2 linked regions of the Neurospora crassa OR74A genome follow. The protein of the gene in region 2 purifies or fractionates together with the protein of the main gene of each other region. This does not show direct contact. Links are inferred from orthologs where the notes say so. Each region holds a gene or a part of one and is shown on either strand. Other genes may lie near its edges.

Region 1 (4,288 bases), on a different chromosome or scaffold from region 2:
TGTCGTACAATCGTGGGATCTCTTGCTGAAAGACCTCGTGAAAGGTCGCAGGGTCTACAACATGGAAAACCGTAGCGAAGGTCTCAAGGAGATCTTTTTCCTCCTTTGTGAGGGAAACCATGAAGAAGTTTGCCATGTATTCGACTGTGGAAGTAAAGGGTGACTCGGCTGCAGGCTTTTCGCTATCGTAATACCGGAACACGTAGCAACCCTCACGGAAAAGCTTGACGATAACCTCAACCTCCTCAGCAGTGAAGCCGTAAGCAACATCAACCCAGTGTGCGGGTGCATTGGCCAGATCTGGCACGGTAGTCGGATTGCAGCTCTTCAACTGATAGAAAGTGTTCTTCAAGCCGGTCATGAGGTTCTTGAACAGAAACTTGTTGTCAACGACCGGATCGGCAGCACGGTCCCGAGGGTTAGAGGTTTTGATGGGCATTGCGGAGAAGATGTCAATTTCGTCCCACTGCGGGGGGTGCTCCTTGTCAGCCAAATACGTCTCGGGCGTGTTGTCGGCAGCTTGCTGGGCGTACAGCTTTGAAAGTTTGACCGCATTTGCGTACTGCTTGTTCATGGCAGCAAACTTGTCGGCAATGGCATTGAGAATCATCATTAGATAATGCCGTGCATCGACCTTGTTCGGCAAGCGGGCAATACATTCCGCCATATTGAGTAGAAGTTTTGCGCTCATGGTTTGAAAACTGGTGCCGGGGAAGTTGTCTTGTAGGTTTCGCGTATACACCTCGACTGTCTTGCGAATCTGATCAGGAGTAAGACTGTCCCTTACGTGGTGAATAAGGTCGGCCAACATGCTGTACGCCAACGGTCTCATGGTCTCGTATACTGTCAAACCGTCGCCTATCAGAGTGCGCTCATCCAGCAGCTCGTCGATCTTGGGCAAGAAGATTTTCCGGAAGTTAAAGTTGATAATGTGGCGAATAGCGACGAGCAGCTCCTTCCGCGCGCCTGACTTCTCTCGCGGACAGTCCTTCAAAAGCCTCACTATGATCTCTGGCAACACCATGAGAAAATCCGACAACTGATTGGAGTATGATCTTAGAAGGTAAGCCAAGAAACTCATGGTCTTCACCTGGGCGGTAATGAACTCCCCATATGCCACCCGATTCTTGATATTGGGGCTGACGCCGGTATGGATGGTCCCTCTAGCTGCAGCGTCTTGGTGAGCTTTTTCCTGCGCTTTTGCCTGGCAAAGCAGTACCGACTTGATGAGGGGAACGAAAAGTTTGACATTGGCTGTCACACTGTTGCGATAGACCTGGAAGATAGACACAACAATAATGGGACACTCGGACAGCACCCTGAAGGATTGCATGCCCTTCAGCAAGGGCCGACCAGATTGTTGTCCAGCATCTGCGCTGAAGTCGGCGGCGCCAGGGGCGACAGGAGAGCCTGGTCTCGGGGATTGTTGGTGTGGCATGAAGCTCGTTTGGGTGCTACCGGGGGTTGAAGGGGCGCCTGGGGGGCCGACCACCGACGTGGATGTATCGTCAAGCTGTTCCTTTACCACCAATGCCATCTGTTCGAATAGCTCCTGTATCAGGTTCAGGAAGGGCTGGACTTTGGAACCCAAGACTTTGTGTTGGTGGCGCATGATTTCGGATATGATCTTGACGCAGAGAACCGCGTTGTCTTCATTGTCTTCTCGCACAAGACCCATGAGCAGGTCTACAACTTCTTCGGCGAAGGGTTCGAAGGGCTCGGGCGACGTGTTCGAGGTAGGGAGGCGATGAAGAATCTCGAGGATGCAATTTCGCAGCTTCTGCATGTTGACTTGGTCCATCGTCTTGCTCTGAAACACTGGTGGTTGTCGCAAAATCATGATGAAGGGAGGTATCACGCGCTTGAGGAACGGAGAGTATGCTGGACCGGTCACATAGTGGTCGAGGCTGTCGCGCAAGTTGATCGCAGCTTCGACCTTAAGCCGAAGCTCTGTAAGGAGGCACTCGGTGTCAGCACCGACCCACGAAGCATCAGAAGGATGGGAAGGGTAAGTAAACGTACCAATTTCTGGAGTGCACAGCTTCCTGATGACATCGTCAATTAGGTTCGCCATGGCTGGCGACGTTCACCTCGGGCAGTAGTAGAAAAGCTGTCGGTAAAGCTCTATTGGCATGGAGGAAGGGGAGAAAGGATAGCTATGTTCAGCCTATGCAAGTTAGTTACGATGAGCGCCAGGTCGCATGTCAGACCGGGTCGACAAGGCTGAGGTGACGGGACGGGCGGGAGGTATAACCAAGCATCATGGTGTGTCGGCGGCAGACTGTCGCAAAAGACGGGAAGGGGGTATGCTCGATCCACTCAGGCATACAAAGGCCAGGTAGGTACCTGTACGGAACGGGCCACCAGCAGGTGCAGATGAGCTGTTGAAAGGCAGGCAGGAGATAGATGCAGGTTCCGTAAGGTCGGGCAGTAAACACCGGCATGAAGCTACTATTGATGATCGAGGGTCCCGGTAGATGTCGGTACCTCTAGGTAGGTAGGTAGGTAGGTAGAGGGGTAACGATGCGGTCGGTATGGGGGAAGGCTCGATCCATCAGGCTGGAGATGGAGCGAGTGGAAACATGGCCTCGTCGCTCGAGAGAAGTAACTGAAATCAAGACTCACTTATGACGCCATAGCAGAAGGAAATCGTCGTTATTATCATCCAAGTGCGGAGGATGTGGGTATGGCAAATGAATAGTTATCGTAGGTAGCGCAAAATGGCAGTGAGAGTTTGGAATAAAACAAAAAGTAGTTGATGGGGTATCAAGTGAATTGCATCTCAAGCGGAAAAATGCGCCGCTGTCAGAAGGTTGCGACAGTTGCTCCTCCAGTGGAAAGTGCAACCTGGGGCGGCAGAGCGGCGCGGTCGCAAATCGAAAAATCCCAGGGAACGCGAAGCTGGGGCGTCCGGTCGCCAAATCCAACGGCGCTAGGCATCCGTTTGAATATTGTTCCGAAGTTTACAACTTTCTGATTGGTCACCCGTGAAACTTGAGCTCTCGGCAGGCAAGCCGGTTCCTTGTATAAGCGGCTGATGTGCTGTCGATCTGATCTTATCGAGTGAGCTTATCTTATCACTTACACGAAATGCCAAGACTGATCCACTGCCGTTTACGATCGACGCTTTTTCAGGGCCACCATCTGCGCGATGTTCGAGCAAAAAGGAGACATAACAACGACACATGGGACGCGTTGCACTCTTCATTTAGTAGCTTTGGAGATCCTATAGCACGCTCATGAGTTATTGACCCTTTGCGTTTGCTGGAAGTCCGGTTCAAGTGTTCAAGACCTATCACATTATTGTTCCCACACGAACTTGATTTCTTTTTCTTCAGATCTACATATGTGGTCACATAAAGCTCAGGGTGAATATTATGGGTATGTCCAAATTCTGTTTATTCTAGTGTTATAGAGAATGTACATGGTAATACTACAAGCTGTTTGTGTCAAGAAAAGAAAGGCTTTTAAACAAAATGCGCCGCCGGGTATTGCTAATGTGTTGCTTTATCCAATGCAAGAGCCCCCAAAAAAGATCCCAAAGATGTGTGTAATGAACGAAGAGAAAGAAAGTGTTGTTTATGTTTGAATGAGTGTTGGAGTTTGACGCTTTAACCCCTGAAACGAACGGCAAGGCGCCTCATCTTCTTGCCAGCAGCCTTGATGTTGAGAGAAGTAGATTGGCCGACATCGCAAACGGTGCCAGCAGCAAGTGGCATGACGGGCGTCCAGACGCCGGCAGCGCACTGCTGGTATGACTTTCCATCAACGCAGTTCCACATGCCATCAGTGCTGCAAGCAGATCCAGCACCGGAGCTGCCCGAGCCACCGGAGCCGGAGCCACCAGAGCCAGAGCCAGAGCCAGAGCCAGAGCCAGAGCCAGAGCCAGAACCAGAACCAGAGCCAGACCCAGAGCCAGACCCACCACCGGAAGAGCCGCCGCCGGTTTGAGCAGGAGGAGCAGGAGCAGAAGTGGTGGGAGCATCAGGAACCGGGGCTGTGATGAAGATTCCACCTCCACCTCCACCTCCACCAGGAGCATTAGTGGGAGGAGCAGCCGGAGCAGTGGTGGATGGTGAAGGAGACGATCCAGAGCCACCGTTGGAACCACCGTTGGAGCCACCGCCGGAACCACCACCGGAACCACCACCGGAACCGCCGCCAGAAACAGCATTGCACTCAGGAGAAAGTCCACCCTCAAAGTCTGAAGCAAAGGTGTCGACCGACTTGCCAGGGTTGGGGTACCTGTAGTCCTTGCTTTCACGTGTTGTGCACTTGTTGATGGCAG
Region 2 (4,535 bases):
TCCATATGTCATTAGAGACAGAAAAGCTTGTCACCTTGGCACGATCGCTCGTGCAAGACACCTTTACAGCCCTCCTCTCATCCACATCAACCCGTACCTCTCGATCTGCAGCAGACACGGGTGATATACAACCTCCAGCAATAAACGCCAATCTATCCTTCCTCCGTATTCTTCGTGCGTTCCTCACTCGCGCCGCGGCGTCGTCGCCTAACCTTGCAGATCTCCGTTCAGTTCTCTCCAGTATCTTCGCCGCATACGCATACGAAGAATCCATCCTTAGCCTCTCAAACCGGCTTTTGGAACGCAGTCTTTTTGTGAGTGTAAGCCAAGCCGTCCAACTCCGCCAGCGAGGTTGGCGTCCTAAAGGCTCCACCTGCGAGGCCTGCGGCCGGCGAGTTTGGGGTCCTGGTGTGGCGGGTAATGTCTACGAAGCGTGGGAAGATCGCCAGGCTGCTGAGGAGAGTCAACGCCAGGCGAGGAAGCAACTCACCATGAGCAAAAACAAGGCGGCGAGTGCTACTACTGAACGGGGGAAGGGCAAGGATCATGCGTGGCCGGCAACGGACGGGCCCCAGGGTGGGGAGAAGTATAATGGAAATGCAAATGGAGATGGAAAGGGGAAGGGCAAGGGAAAGGCTGTGAGCCCGCAATTGAAGCAGCAAGGGGAGTCAATGAACGACCCGAACCAGCAAGCAAACACTTCTGGACATGAAGGCGTGCAAGGGCCAATAGTGGCAAACCGGGAACAGAAGCTTAGCCCTCTGGTTGTGCTGGCCTGCAGACACATCTACCATCAAGCATGCCTGGACGCTCTTGAGATGAAACATGGGGGCGCGGTTTCCAAAGGAGCTAGTTTTGGAACGAAGAGAGAGTATAGCTGCCCCATTGACAGGTAGGACTGATGAGAGGATTATGGATTGTCTAGAAGAAATTACACTTTGTACGTAGAAGCTTTACGGTGAATGAACTACTTGGAGACAGTTGAAGCTCTGGGATCTAGCCGTGATTAAAGTCAAAACTGGCAATACAGGCAATGGTTGGCGTGTATCTTTCATAAGCTGAAAGCATTGAAAATCCATTTCTCCGGAACGCCTCCGCGCCATATCGTGCGACCATAACATACACCTGCCTGATAATTAGCGACGTAGAAAATATCATGCCCATCTTATATGACCACCACACTCCACCCCACACAAACTCCATGAATGTGTGAGCACTTTAGGCATCAACCATTGTGGCCTGACTTGGAATCCGATGTTTTGTAGCCTCCCGCCATTTCCATAGCGCGGCGTGGGAGGGTTTTCCACTTCATGCCTCGACAACTTTCTTTTTCTGCAATTGACAAAGTGAAATCCTACTTGCAGCGCTTCTCGACAATGCCCGCGCCGTTCTCATCATATTCCTTTCGCGAAATCCACATTTGGTGGAAGGTTCCGAGACTGGCGAGAATGCTTCCTCCGATCCAAGCACCGAAGCGTCTCTCGGTCGTCAAACCCGCCGCATGGATCTTGATCTTCACACCGGGGTACATTTGCGCGAGCTCGTGGTTGAGACGGTCGTTGAAACCGTTCAACAAGCTTGTACTACCCGTGACAACAACGTTGCCGAGGATGTTGGGGCGGAGATCAACATCAACACCCTCGAGGGCCGCCTTGATGAGAGCCGGGATCGTCTGAGCCTTAGTAACACGTCCTTCCTCGTCAGTGCTGTTATAGGCAGCCGTCTCGTCCCACATGCCCTCCGACACCTTGAAGCGCTGCTCACGCCACATCTGATTGCTGCCGTCGGGCATCTCGAAGACCCGGCCGGGTTGTGTACGGACAGCATCTTCGTTTCCGGGGGTCGTGAACCGCTGGGGACCACGCCACACCTCGACAACAGACTCCTTGAACTCGGTGAGAACACGCTCTTCCTCGTAAGCGCGGAAGGACGGGTGGATGTCGAAGTTAAACTTTCGCAGGTTGGCTTCGGCAGGCGCACCGGCCTCCACGGGCTTCTTACTCTCGACCATGAACCGCGGCACAACGTCGACCTTGGGCTCACTACCGTCCCACATCTTGCAGATCTGGCTGCTCAGCCAAACACCGCCCACCGGAGACCTTTGAATCGATCGCTTGAGGACCATGCCGTCGTGGATGGCCGTGACACTCGTGTTGGCACCGCCCACGTCTATTACCAGAGCCGTGGCCTTTCCGGCCGCAAATGCTGCGAGCACAGGTGTCTTGCTAAGCCAGAATGCGGGCACGCCCCAAGTCTCCATGCTGATTTCGATGGCCTTCTCGCGCGCCTTGGGCGAGTTCCACGGCGCTTCGGTCATAAGAAGAGGGTTCTCGGCCAGTGGCTTCTCCAGCGCGTCCGTAGCATCCTCGTTGTTGTTTCCATCGTCTTCCATGGGCACATCGCCATCGTCACTAATGTTGATACCCTTTTTGCTGGGAGGTGTTGATCGCTCGGGCTGCAAACGCTTGACGAGAACATGTTCCCACATCCTGGTGGCAGCATCCCAATCTTCGACAACGCTGTCGCGGTTCATGTAGTTGCGCACTTCGAAGCCCGGTTTTGGCACGATATACTCGTCGCCGAATACGTCACGCCCATTGATGTGGCCGTAAAAAGAAGGGAGAACTTGCTTGGGCATTTCCTCGCCAGCATAGCCGGCGCGAGTGTTGCAGTAGCCCGGATCGAGAACAAGCGCGGATACCTCATCTAAGGAAATAATCAGCCGTCAATTGCAAGCCTTGAAGCTTGGGCAATGTCGCTGGTCAGAGGCGTTTGGACTAGGCTTACCTCCGCCATAGATGTCAGTCGGCTGGACCGACGACGAGAGAGGTTGTTGGTGGGACATGTTAGGCACCGACGCTGTATAATGGAAAATCGCTGAGGTGTATTATCGGAGGGCAAGAAGTGGTGTGAGCGGGGATCTCCAAACAGCGCTGCGCGTCTAATAGCTCGGTCCCGTCGCGTTCCGTTGAAGTTCGATGAACTGGAAATCAAATGGAATTTGACAACGGAGCTTCAAAGACGAGGGGCGCGCGCGCGTGAATACCAGTAAAAGGCCGGACAGGCTCTCCTCCAGCTACATAAAAGTGGGGCGCGGTACGTACCTCTACGGTAATAGGGCATCAGGGACAGAAAATGGAAATAGCAATCCAACGAACCTGTCAAGAGCTCTGTTAACTTGTTGATAGGTCTTTTAAGCTTGAAGAGAAGTAAGACGCACATGAGCAGTTAGCTTTGGTTAAACTCCTCAAAGATTGTCGCTGGCCTGTCGTTGCTGATCCAGAGCCCACGAACTCGCTAGAAGTCCTAGAAGTCAAAGTTACGACATCCATGGGAAGTAGAACTCTCAGCTGTATACGATACCGACAACGGATTCACCCAGAGCATTATGCCACCCCCAAAAAGAACAAATGGGTATCATATTTCACAATGGACAAAACAACAATACAGCAGAGATCAGGTGTCTATCCTGTCTCAGGACCTTCATAACCTGTGTTAACTCCATCGACCAACTCTCGAGCCATCCAGTCCATTCCCAGGACTATGCAACATCCCCTTTCCTTCATAGTCCTCCTCATCCTCCTCACTCTCCACCCCTTTCTCCCTCCCCTCTCCATACAAAACCTCACAAACTCCCGCCAGTGGCACATCCATCACCGCATCCGTCCCTTCATTCCAGACCTCCCTCCAATTCAATCCTCCCCCAGGTAAGAGCACCTCCCTATCCGTCGACCCATGCCTCCCATGTCCATAGCCATGCCCATACTGTCTCTTCTCCTCCTTGATGCCACATTTCTTATCATGCCTAATGATTTGGCCCTTCCCATCCACCACCGCCACCTGCGCCGCCTCATCCACAATCGTCTCAATCGATCCCAACGGCAGTGTGAGGTACTCGGTATTGTAAGCCGCCAGCGCCACGTAGATGTACACCAGCGTCATTGTCAGGAAACTCGGAATGGCCAGCGACCACCACCGGTTGGGGTAGTAGTAGATGCCCAACGCATGCAGGAACGGTGAAGGCAGGTAGGCCCACAGTAGGTAGATCAAAAACGACAGGCTGCTGAAGAGGTAGAGGACGAAGCCGTAGTACTCGTACGTGGGTACGCGGGGGCTGGCGCGCGGGAGGGGCTCGTTGCTGCCCTCTGGACCCCCACCGCCGCCGTTGGCTACTGTCTCGTCGTCGGAGGCGTCCGGGGTAGTGGGACGCGAGGGGCGCAGCAGGGAGGTTAAAGAGGGGGAGGGTGGGAGAGGGGTCGGTGGGCGACCGTAGAAGGGAGGGGCGAAGGTATGTTGCGAGACGGGCGGTGGGGGCGCGAGGTGCTCGTCGTCGCCGTCGTCGTCCGAGATGTCATCCTCGTCGTAAGAATCCTCGTCTCCGGATATCGAGCCATCATCGTGGTTGTCTTCTTCTGAAGGGTGGGACAGCATCGTGCCATCCTCCTCTTCTTCCTCCGATATTATGGGCATTCTCGTGACATTCGTTTGCTGGGTTATGATTCAGAGCGGAGGCTCTGTGAATTGTTCAAGACCTG

The links.
Region 1: the proteins of arp-4 (region 2) and stk-18 purify together in Saccharomyces cerevisiae (affinity purification with mass spectrometry; 4 studies listed by BioGRID, with this or other methods). This does not show direct contact. The link is inferred for Neurospora crassa OR74A from reciprocal best matches to the Saccharomyces cerevisiae genes ARP4 and TRA1.

What each region holds. Positions count from the first base shown.
Region 1 is NC_026505.1:3,832,747-3,837,034, forward strand, and holds the start of stk-18 (histone acetylase complex subunit Paf400), read right to left. Parts: upstream 2,869-4,288; 5' UTR 2,626-2,868; intron 2,168-2,625; 5' UTR 2,075-2,167; coding exon 2,023-2,074; intron 1,951-2,022; coding exon 1-1,950. Other genes in the region: NCU01380 (hypothetical protein), read right to left, coding at 3,612-4,288. UniProt on the Saccharomyces cerevisiae protein: Essential scaffold subunit of the transcription coactivator SAGA complex. SAGA acts as a general cofactor required for essentially all RNA polymerase II transcription.
Region 2 is NC_026501.1:2,713,318-2,717,852, forward strand, and holds the start of arp-4 (actin), read right to left. Parts: upstream 3,015-4,535; 5' UTR 2,846-3,014; coding exon 2,788-2,845; intron 2,707-2,787; coding exon 1,355-2,706; 3' UTR 897-1,354; coding exon of another isoform or gene 1-896. Other genes in the region: NCU02554 (golgi complex component), read left to right, coding at 1-896; NCU16367 (hypothetical protein), read right to left, coding at 3,496-4,470. UniProt on the Saccharomyces cerevisiae protein: Chromatin interaction component of the NuA4 histone acetyltransferase complex which is involved in transcriptional activation of selected genes principally by acetylation of nucleosomal histone H4 and H2A. The NuA4 complex is also involved in DNA repair.